Pelodiscus sinensis: one gene and its partners. The protein of the gene in region 1 interacts with the protein of each later gene in a biochemical or structural test. Links are inferred from orthologs where the notes say so. Each region holds a gene or a part of one and is shown on either strand. Other genes may lie near its edges.

What was found.
Region 2: the proteins of AGO2 (region 1) and TNRC6B form a complex in vitro, tested with the Homo sapiens proteins (3 studies listed by BioGRID and IntAct, with this or other methods). The link is inferred for Pelodiscus sinensis from reciprocal best matches to the Homo sapiens genes AGO2 and TNRC6B.
Region 3: the proteins of AGO2 (region 1) and DICER1 form a complex in vitro, tested with the Homo sapiens proteins (2 studies listed by BioGRID and IntAct). The link is inferred for Pelodiscus sinensis from reciprocal best matches to the Homo sapiens genes AGO2 and DICER1.

What each region holds. Positions count from the first base shown.
Region 1 is NC_134712.1:7,743,097-7,746,840, forward strand, and holds the start of AGO2 (protein argonaute-2), read left to right. Parts: upstream 1-1,323; 5' UTR 1,324-1,623; coding exon 1,624-1,675; intron 1,676-3,744.
Region 2 is NC_134711.1:90,366,489-90,370,232, forward strand, and holds the start of TNRC6B (trinucleotide repeat-containing gene 6B protein), read right to left. Parts: upstream 2,504-3,744; 5' UTR 2,387-2,503; intron 2,333-2,386; exon of another isoform or gene 2,194-2,332; intron 2,188-2,193; exon of another isoform or gene 2,112-2,187; 5' UTR 2,018-2,111; intron 1-2,017.
Region 3 is NC_134714.1:28,338,088-28,341,831, reverse strand, and holds the start of DICER1 (endoribonuclease Dicer), read right to left. Parts: upstream 2,288-3,744; 5' UTR 2,077-2,287; intron 1,846-2,076; exon of another isoform or gene 1,662-1,845; intron 1-1,661. UniProt on the Homo sapiens protein: Double-stranded RNA (dsRNA) endoribonuclease playing a central role in short dsRNA-mediated post-transcriptional gene silencing.

The DNA of each region.
Region 1 (3,744 bases):
GGGGAGGCGGAAGGGGGGAGAAGAAGAGGCGAACTTCAAAGCAACAATGCTGCATGGAGCCTGGGGCCAGACCCCGGGCTCCACACAGTGCTGCTGCTTTGAAACACAGTGAGTGAACTGGGCCAGCTGTGGTGTCCCCAGGCTCTTCGCAGAGTTTCAAAGCGGCAGCACCGGATGGAGCTCTGGGTCAGCAGGAGAGTCGCCCGTTGATCCTGGGCTCCACTCCATGCAGTGCTGACGCTTTGAAATGCTGCAAGGATCCTGACGCCGGGCTCCCTGCAGCGCTTCAAAGCAGCAGTGCTGCATGAAACCCGGGGTCAGTGGGGGAGTCCCAGGTTGACTCATGCGGCGGCACTTTTGCCTTTGATGTGTAGCAACAGCCTTAGGGCTGTTGCTACACGTCAAAGGCGGAGGTGCCCTATCGACTAATCAAATAGTCAATGCAAAATGCAGACTAGTCAAGTAGCCAATTACTCGCAATTTAATATCCCTATAAGTAACACTGCTAAAGCCTCTGTCCTCAGTCGATTTCCCTTCAAGGTCTCACTCCCCCTCTCCCTCCCCTTCTGAAATGGCACCCCTGGAGCCCTGGGCCTTTTTGAATGGCGGAGTCCTAGGACAGTTGCCTCTTTGCCCCCTTCTCCTACGGTCAGGCTTGCTAGGGAGTCCTGGGGGCAGGGTTTGCGCCATAGGTGATGCTGGAACTAAGTTAGGGGGTGTGGGCGCACCCTTTGGCTTGAAGAGGTTTCCCTCCTAGGCTACGTCTAGCCTGCAAGCCTCTTTCAAAAGAGGCTTTTTCGAAAGATATTTTCGAAAAAGCCGCTTTCGAAAAAGAGCATCTAGACTGCAACCCGTACTTTCGAAAAAGCAAGCCGCTTTTTCGAAAGAGAGCACCCCGGCAGTCTGGATGCTCTCTTTCGAAAAAGCACAGTTTGCATAACATAGCGCCTTTTTTCGAAAGAGCACTTTCGCAAAAAGGCGTTATTCTTCGCGAAATGAGGAGTACCGCCGTCGAAAGAAAAGCCGCGTTCTTTCTCGATTTAATTTCGAAAGAACGGGGCTGTAGTCTAGACGCAGGTGACATTTTTCGAAAAAAAGCTACTTTTTTCGAAAAAAAAAAAAAACCCTGCAGTCTAGACACAGCCCTAGACAGTTTGGGGCACGGCTCTCAACACCCCAATACAACTGCTCCCACAGCTCTTTAAGCTGGGGCAGCTCTGCCAGGGAAGGCGGGGGCGGGAATGTCCCTCCAGCCCGCACACGAGGGAGGGGAGGAGCAGGGTGCAGCCGCTTCAGCGAGGCGGGGGGGGGGGGGGGGGGGAGCGTGCGGCGGCGCTGAGGGCAGCCCCTGGTCGCTGAGGCGGCGCTTCCCGCCGGCAAAGGGAGGGAGACGGACACTGGGTGGGAGGAGCCTCTGCCTCCCCCGTGACCACCCGGCTCCTCCCAGCCCCAGCGCCGCCGAGTAACCTGGTTCCCCGGCTCGGAGTCGGCCCTCCTCCTCCCTGCCTTGAGAGTGCAGCCGGGGCTCGGGCTAGTTCCCCAGAGCGGCCGCTGAGGTAGGAACCGCCGGCCCTGCGGAGAGGCGCTGCCGCCGCCGCCGCCGCCGCCTCCTCACGCGGAGACATGTACCCAGGAGCTGCTCCCGCCGCCGCTGCCGCCGCCTCTCCCGGACCCGGTGAGTCCCCAGCCGCCCGCTCCTCCCCGGCTCCAGCTTGGTTTGAACGCGTGGGACCGTTGGTGCGTGAACCGCGCGAGACGCGGCGCGAGGTCCCCCCCGCGAGACGGAGGTGGGGTGGGGGGGGGCGAGCGCGCGCGCGCGAGGTGCCAACCGCCCAGCGCGGAGGCGGGGGGGGAGGTTGAAGCCCTCGCGCGCCCCAGCGCGCGCGTCGGCTTCCCTCTCCCCGCCGCCGCTGGGCCTTGTGGAGACTCCCGGAATGGCCGCAGCGGCCCGGCTGTGTGCTGCCGAAGGGGCGGGGAAGGAGGGGTCAGGCGGCCGCCGTCCCCCCCTCCTCCTCCTCCTCGGGGAGGGCTCGAGCGAGCGTGCGTCTCCTCAGGCCCCTTTGTGGGCAGGGGTCCCTCCCTCCTTCGGCCGCGGTGGGGAGCCGAGGAGACGTCGGGTGCAAGGCCCCGCGGGAAGCCTGCGGTGGCGGGGAGGGGCGGCCGACCTGGCGCTGCGAAGCTGCCGCAGGAACTCCAGGGGCCTGCTCGCCTCGCGCAGCCCGCCCCTGCTCCACCAGCCGGAGCCGGGCGGGGGGTTAGTGCTTGGTAGCCATGGAGCCCGTGGTGGTCCATGCACGCACTGGGGCAGAGGTGCTCAAACTTCACTGCACTGCAATCCCTTCCTGGCAACAGAAACTACTGCACAAGCCCGTCCTCCCCCGGAATGGGGACCCAGGCAGAAACCTGCCCGAGCTCAGCCGCCTGGGGTGATGGGGCACCAAACCACAAATGCCAGGTCTTCAGCTGCAGGTGGAGACATCCAGGGCTGAAACCCTCGAGCTTTGGCTTCCGTCCAGACAGTAGGACTGAGACTTCGGCCCACACTCCAAGTCTAATGTTAGCCAGGGTGACACCATTAAAATGGAGCTGTGACCCATAATTTGAGAACCTCTGCATTAAGATGTCCACTGACATCCTGTTGCTGCCTGCATGGTATTGTAGAGTCACCAGGCAGGATCCCAGTTGCTATCTCCAGTACATGTTGCTGCTGTTGCCAGTACTTATTGGCTTGGAGCTTACCATGGCTGTCCTATGTCCCAGCAGGTCATTGTTGCACTAACTATTTGTGACTGCATTGCTGCCACTACCAAGGATCTAGTAGACATGCTGGCATTGCCGTTCTTGCAACTTCGATTGAGTTTATAACACTAGTGTGAGGCCCTGCCGCCACTGTGGCAGCTGGGTTTGCTGTTGTGGAGTGGTTCAAGTGCATCAAAGTGTTCAGGAGGAATTCACCAGTTATGATGGATGTTGCCATACTGTATCATTTGGCAATGAATAATCTTTCTTTTGGCCTGGAACCCACCAAGGAGAAGTTTATATTCCCAAATAAGCTTGTAACCAAGAAAGTGAAAGTGAGAGTTTGTGTGCATTGGTTATAAAAGCAAAGAATAGTAAATATTTACCAGAGCAGGAACTGCAGCCTGTTCTCCTTCACAAATGTGTGCCTTTCCATTTTCACACACAATGGGAAGTGACTGTCTAGAAAGGAGTACTGCAGAAAGAAATCTAGGAATCATAGTGGACCACAAGCTAAATAGGAGTCAACTGTGTGACACTGTTGCCAAAAAAGCAATCATTCTGGTATGCATTAACAGGTGTGTTGTGAGTAAGACACGAGAAATAATTCTTCCACTTTACTTTGTATGCCTCCACTGAAGTATTGTGTCTACTTCTGGGCATCACGTTTCAGGAAAGATGTGGTCAAATTGGATGAAGGTCCATAGAAGAGCAACCACAAAAGGTCTAGGAAATTGACCTATAAGGAAAGATTGATAGATTGTGTTTATTTAGTCTAGAAAAGAGGAAACCGAGGGAACATGATAGCAGCTTTCAAGAACCTAAAAGGGTGTTACAAGGAGGAGGGAGAAAAAATATTTTCCTTAACCTCTGATGATAGGACAAGAAGCAATGGACTTAAAGTGCTGCAAGGGAGTTAAGTTGGATGTTAGGAAAAACTTCCTAACTGTCAGAGTGTTTAAGCACTGGAATAAATTGCCTAGGGAGGTCGAGGAATCTCCATCA
Region 2 (3,744 bases), on another chromosome or scaffold:
GAAATATATATTGGCAGCTTCATCTGTCTGACAGTAACAGCTACCTAGAGTACAAAAAGCAGCCTATTTCTATAGCTAGGCTGTAATAAAAAGATTTAGTGCCAAATCCCGCAAACAACAATATTCATTTTGTTCACTGCTACACATAGCCCAGGAGACAAATGGTACACTGATTTTTTTTTTTTTTAAACTAGCAGATTTAACCAGCCGCCTTGCCTGGGTCCTTCAAGGCAGGGACTTGGGCTAAGGCTAAGGACCCCTTCCTCCCCTCAATCCAGACCACCCCTCACCCTGTTCTCTTTCTTCTCCCCCCCAACCCACCCTGAATCAGAGGCAGCAGTGCAAGGGAGGCAACTGGGTCCCCAAGAGCAGAGCAGGAGGTGGAAGTGAGCTGCCGCCCCATGCTGTAGGCCTCCCCAGGAGTGGAGTCAGCAGCTGAGAGCCAGCTTCCAGTGCACACTTGCTGCCTGCCCAGCTCCGGGGGTTAAAACTTTATACTGCAGAGCCCATTACGAATAACTGCTAAGACTTAACAGTTACATGGTTACCTAATTAAGCACTTTTTAACATCCCTAGTCTGTACAGACACCTCAAAATAATCTGGATATTAAACCCAAAAGTTAAAAAAGCAAGATATACTTTGACATTAAAAAAGCTTCTTCATAGAAAGGGCAATATATGGCCCAGGGACTGAATCCAGCCTGCCAAGCCATTTGATCCAGTCTGCAGCTGGCAGCGCTGCGCCCTGCCTCCAGGCCAATCAAGACCCAGGGTCAGAAGAGTGCATGGAGTCTCCTCCCCCCATCAGGGGTACACTGCTCCAGAGGGAACGGCCAGCAGTTCAAAACACTAGCAATTCCCTCTAGGCATTGTGTGCCTCGGCTGGGCAGGTGCAAGAGATCTCATGTGCTCCTCTGCCCCACAGCCAGCCACCACTACCACCAAAATTGGTGATGTGTCCCACCCCTTACAAAAAGTATTGCCCACCCCTGTTATAGAAACTAAACTGGGACAGTAAAACGGAAGGGTCATGTATGACTGTGAATGCAAATGGAGGGGCCTCAGCATGACCACTTATTTTTTGGCTTGAGTTAACAAAAAAAACATGCCCACGCCTCACAAAATTAGGTGACTTCAGTTACTTCCCTATGTAGTCATAGAGCGTATATATTAACATAAGGAGCACCACAAAGCAGGCACGAGAGTGAGAGAGAAGCAGCCCTAGCAATGTGTCGCCTCGGATTTTCCTATGCCAGGAATAGCTCTGAAAAGTGGCTTTGGCTTGGGACACTCCTCTTCAATTCGGTTACTCCTCCCGCCTCTAAACTCATTCCACCAGCCGCGTATGCAACAAATCCAATGTGGTCGGTAGTGCTACCGACATAACCTCAGGAGCGCATCCGCACGCAGCGGAGCGGGGTAACTCCAGCCACTGGAGGTTTGCTGGCGGCTTGCTTGGGGGCGGCCGGGAAGCAGAACCACCCGCCAGGGCTCAGAGTCTCCTGCTCACTCCCTGGGGCCCGCAGCGCGCTACGCGGCGGCAACTGAGGCTCTGCGCTGGCCCGCGCGCTGCCGGTTGCCGAGGCCGTGCCGGGTCAAGCTGGCCTCGCACGCCGCGGGCAGAGCAGCGCTGCAGGCCCCACACAGGGCCTCGGCTCCCGTTTCGGCTCCCGCGGGCTGAGCCTGGAGCCGCCCCTCCCTCCGCACGGGGCGGGGCTCGGGCACCAGTTAAACCCCGCCGGCCTAGGGCCACCCTCCGGCCCCGCGCGCGCCGCCTCAGTCCCCAGCCGGCCGAGGGCAGCCAGCGGGACCGCCCAGGCAGAGACCAGCGAGCGGCCGCCTGCGGCTCCGAGGCAGGAGTGGCCCGGAGGGAGCCCTGGCGGGCGGGGCGGCTCTCCAGCCAGGCCCCCACCCCTCCCGCTGAGGGCGGGGGAACAGACGCAGCGCGGGGCCCCAGGGAGACGGACGGAGACCCCCGCCGCGCTGCCTGTGCCTGGGGGGCCTGTCCCGTACTCACCGCCGAGGTGCGCGTAGTTCCGTTCTCCTCAGCGCCGGGGGCGGCTCCTCTCACCCACCCGCGTCACCCGCAGGGGAAGCGCGAACCCCAGAAACTAGAAACAAAATACAATTTAAAAAATAAAAACTTTCCTCGTCGCCGTCTCCCTCCCCCCGAGAGCACGAACCCAAACACACCGAGACACGCCTCCGTGACGCCCCCTGCGCAGCTCACTGGCCAGGGTTGCGCCAGCGTCCGCCCCCATTGGCCGCAGCTCCTGCCGATCACACACCTCGCCTCTTTTCACCCCTCCGTACTGTTAATAGGATAGCGTCTCCGTAGTCTCCCCGCCCATTAGCCACAACCCTTGCCTATCACATCAATACCCACCTTTCTGCGACTTCAATTGGCTGGCATCATCGCCATCTCCCCACCCATTGGCTACACTCACTGACAGTCACATACATCTTCCACCTAACTCATTGTCTGGCACCGCCTCCTCCTTTCTCCCCATTGGCTATACACCCAGGCCGTTGGACGAGAACGCGCCCAACTCTCGGGCTCTTCCGCACCCTTCATTGGGTTGTATTTTTATTCTCTCCCACCCATTGGATGAATGCTGGGCCCGTCACAAAACAAAGTCCCGCCCACCAAGCTGCGGGTCTTAAAAGAGACTTCTGCGTTGGTGCGTCACTGCGCGCCGGCAGCACTACCTAGCTCAGCTAGGTAAAATCACCGTCAATCAAGCACGCACAGCGGCTCCCGTGTGGTCCCGGCCAGAGGGAAGGCGTTTGACTGGTGTCCAAGTTACCAACAAGGGCCCCAGCGATAAACACCCACAAATGCAACGCCCCGCCCCCAGTTAGTTATTGTCTGAGACGCAACACGGGCACACCCGGCACAGCTTGCGACGCTATTTATCCCCAGCTTGCACCGCCCCGTGCAGGTTATAGCCGGAGGGAAACGCTATTGGGCCTGAAAGGTGTCAGTCTTAATGAAGCGCGCACGTCATTGGTGAAAGCGTTTGGGGTGTCCCGCCTATCATCTTTTTCAGCCCTTGGCAACAGTAAGCGTATCCACCATAGCTACTGATAGCGTCATAGGGCGGCTTCCCTCTAAGCGCGCCTCTGATTGGCCCGTTGTCATGCGCCGCAGAGCGCTAATCCTGAGGCCCCTCAGCTGCTTGTCTACGGCCCGAGTGCATCCCCGCAGAGCCTGATCCAGCGGCCCAGTCTCAGCCCGGCCCTGCCTGCTGCAGCCACAGTCTCGAGCGCGGCCCCAGCCGGCGCTGGGCTGTGACTCTGGCACGGATCTCAGTGGTCTCCTGGCTGCTGCAGCGGCCACAGCACAGCGCGAATCGCCTTTCTGGCGTCTGGGGGGGGGGGGTCTCACGCGAAACCCTTGTTTGTGACCCACAGGAACCAGGTAGAGCAGTGAGGTGACGGAGCGTCTCCTTTACGCTGCGCAGCCGCCGCCCTGCCCTAGGCTTCTTTCCAGCACTCCTGCGTTTTACACTGAAGGGATCGCAGCCTGAAGGAGAAATAGGAAGGTGCAGCACTTTAAAGACTAACAAGATGGTTTAATAGGTGATGAGCTTTCGTGGGCCAGACCCACTTCCTCAGATCAAATAGTGGAAGAAAATTGTCACAACCATATAACAATTTTCTTCTACTCTTATCTGAGGAAGTGGGTCTGGCCCACGAAAGCTCATCACCTATTAAACCATCTTGTTAGTCTTTAAAGTGCTA
Region 3 (3,744 bases), on another chromosome or scaffold:
TTTAATATTTTTCATTAAATACTACAGATTGTGACCCCACAAGATATGAGCTAGCATGGAAAGGCCTTCCCTTTAGAAAAATATTAAGATACATGGGGATTGAGTTTGTACCTATATCAAACCATTAAAAGACCAGAGTTGTTAAAAATATATATGCAACTCTGCTTCTGTATATAGCACTTCACAAATAAAAGAATGAACCTCCCAATGAATTTACAGTCTAAACAAGACACAGGACAACAGGAGAAGAATAAGCATTACTAAACACACACTGATTAGTTAACTAAAGATATACATCAAAGTGTTTTCACATGAGATCTCTAGATTTGTAAACTAAATAGGCAGGCTCTCCCTTTCTCACTAGTGGAATTCATGGCCATCTTGCTTAAGCAATCATTTGCTGCTTAAAAAACAGAACTGATAATATTAAGGCTACGTCTACACTGGCATGATTTAGCGCAAATACTTTTATTGGGGAAAAACTCTTCCGTTAAAAGTATTTGCACAAGAGAGCATCTACACTGACATGAGCTTTTGTGCAAAAGCATCCGTGCCAGTGTAGACGCTCTCTTGTGCAAGAAAGCTCCAATGGCTATTTTAGCCATCGGGCTTTCTTGCGCAAGAAATTAACATTGCCTGAGCAGAAACGTCAGAGTATTTGTGCAAGAAGCCCTGATTTTGTACATTACAACATCAGTGTTCTTGTGCAAATACTCGTGGCCAGTGTAGACAGGCAGCAAGATTTTGCACAAAAGCGGCCACTTTTGTGCAAAATCTTGCCAATGTAGACACAGCCCAAGTGTATAGGATGTTCTAAGTTTTCAGTGGCCAAGACTTAACCCCATCAACAAGCTATCTTCTCCCAAAGGCCTGTTATCTCAGGAACAAAATCAATACACAAAGAAATGCAAGAGTTTGTTTCAGGTTTGTATCAATATATGACCCACTTTTTTTCCCCTATTGCAGCACTTTCTTTTCTATAGCATGGAGCACAACGTAAATGCTTTAATGTGCCACTTGGACTTTGCAATATTTTTCATACAGGTTATGGGGGAGGATCTTGTAATGTTCTCACTGTATATTTACGGCATGCAGTGCCCCCGCTAGTTTCAGCTAGGGGAGGTGGTGAAGGAGAGAGAGAAGCGATCCTTAAAAACTCTCCAGGAGTAACATTTATCAGTTAGAACTACACCCCTCCACACCCGCATCAAAAGCCCTTCACCCCTTTAATAACGGGTCTCTCATTGGCGCTGGGGAAGCAACTCCCGGGAATCCCAGCTGTGGTCTGAGGGAGGCAGGGATGCGTGGGGACGGGGCTCCTCAGCAGGCCCGGGGAGAGAGAGAAGACAAAGCCAGCGAGAAGGGCTGAGACGCAGGCCCCCGTCGGAGACCCTTCGCCTTGGGCGCCGCTGAGCCGGGTCCATGGGCATGGCGGCAACGGGGGTGGCTAGGCCCCGGCAGGCAGGGCCAGGCGGGGGCTGCGCACAGGTGAACCAGGCCTTGGGAGCGAGGGGAGGCTCAGCCGGGCGCCAAAGGGGCCGAGCCGCGCACATGTCCAGAGCGGGCGGTGGCACAAGCTGCCCGGCCCCGCCGCTGGGTGCCCGGCCCCGCCATGAAGCCACCGGCCCAGGCACACGCCAGAGCCGCCCGCCGCCTCCTACCTGCCGAGCTGGACCCAGACCAGCGCTTCCCCGCTACAGGCCGCGTCTCATTGTGCTGCTCCCGCCGCCATTTCCCCGCCGCGGCCTCACTCCCCCCAGCTGTCAGGTTCCTCCATTCACCTGGGCCCGGGACAGCCTCCTACCCTCCCTTCCCCGTGCGAGGCCGGCCCTACGCAAACAGAGCACCACCCCGCGCCCTCCACCCACCACCACAGGACCGCCCAACGCAAGCAGCGTACAGCCGCTCTGAGAATGCCAACCCCCACAGCTCACACCCTCCACTCTCCCCAGCCCATGAGAGGAGTGAGGCGATTGGAGTAAAAAGGGGGTCAGAGGTCAAGGGTTTACAGGATGGCCAATCAGCTGACAGGAGACAGCAAACGCTTGGGACGGCAGGAGCCTTCCACGGACTCACGTGTGTTGCTTCGTCCTCTCTATTCCCTGCTGAACCCTGCGTGGCGCGCCCCGGGGCGATGGTGTCGCACGCAGGCGCCCTCGCTCCGCACAGGCGGGAGATACCGCACGCAGACGCCTCTTCCGGCGGGGGGCGAGTTTCAGGAGCCGATTCCCCGCTCACCTCCCAGCTCAGGTGGCGGAGGGGGAGGATACCCAGCTCTAGGGTTGCCAACTTTCTATTGGTGCCCCCAACATCCTGGCTCCGCCTTTCGCCCGCGGCCCCGCCTCCCCCCACAAGCCCCCCCCTCCCTCCTTTCGCGGGGCGGGGGCGGGAGATGCTGAGGGCACCAGCTGGGCTCTGGAGTGGGGAAAGGGATGAAGGGTTTGCTGTGCAGTAGGGAGCGCCAGGCTGAGGGGTGGGCCTGAGGGATTCAAGATGCAGGAGGGAGTAAGGGTTTTAGGGTGGGGCAAGAGGCAGAAGTGCAGGTGATGAAGGCTTTGGGGTGGGGCTGGGGGTGAAGGGGTGCAGAGGCGGCCTCAGGGAGGGGGTAGGGGTAGGAGCTTGTGCTGGAACATGAGAACAGCCATACTGGGTCAGAACAAGGCTCCATCTAGCCCAATATGCTGTTTTCCAATAGTGGCCAATGACAGGTGCTCTAGAGGGAATGAACAGAACGGGTAATCTTCAAATGATCAAATTTAAAACACCTAGATAAATTCATGGAGATTACCATCAATGGCTAGGATGGATAGGAATGGTGTCCCTAGCCTCTGTTTGTGAGAGGCTGGAAATGGGTGACAGGAGAGAGATCACTTGACAATTACCTGTTGTGTTCCCTCCCTCTGGGTCAGCAAACCACCAGACTAACAATTATGCCAAGTTTTTTGTAGGCATCACAGCAAATTAGAGTTTTTAGGAAGGATTTGAAGGAGGATGAAATAGTTCTATGGTGTTAATGATTCTCTACTCAACATACAATTCAGTTCAAAATCTGTATCCCAGTTTAAAACTCCCCATGGAATTGGCCCTACCTACTTGAGGGAGGAGTTCTTTCTCCAACTCTGATCTCTCACAAAAGGCCTGGTCCACACAAGTTTTTTTGGCATAACTTTGTTGGCCAGGAGCATGAAGAAAACTCACACACTCCAACCAACATTGCTGTGCCAGCAAAAGCCTACATATGGATGCAGGTATGTGCCAAGACAACACTGAGCCTGCTTCTCCTGACAGCCTGGGCACCCTGGAGCCCTGTCTTGTTGAGCCTACCTCTCCAGCTTGCGTCAAACAAAACACAAGGATAAGGCCACACCATGAAGGCTGCAGATACACCTGAAAGCAGCACAGAGTGAGTCCTTTTCCCAGAAGTCAAGTAAACATCTCCTCTGGGAGCTAATCCTAGAAAAATCTGATTTATGTTGTATAGATAGCTATACAGTACAAGCTCATGAAAATGCCTCTCTTTGGGTTTGTCTACACTGCATGGCTATTTTGGGATACCACAAGTATCCCAAAATAGCTATCCTGCATCTACATAAGCCATCTGTTATTTCAAAATATTTTTAACAGGTGTGCTATTTCACCATCCTGATCAACCTAATTGAACAAGGGATAAAGGATGGCTTGAAATAGCATGTTATTTTGAAATTTGGTGCTGTGTAGACGTGCCAAATATCGAAATAAAGTCTT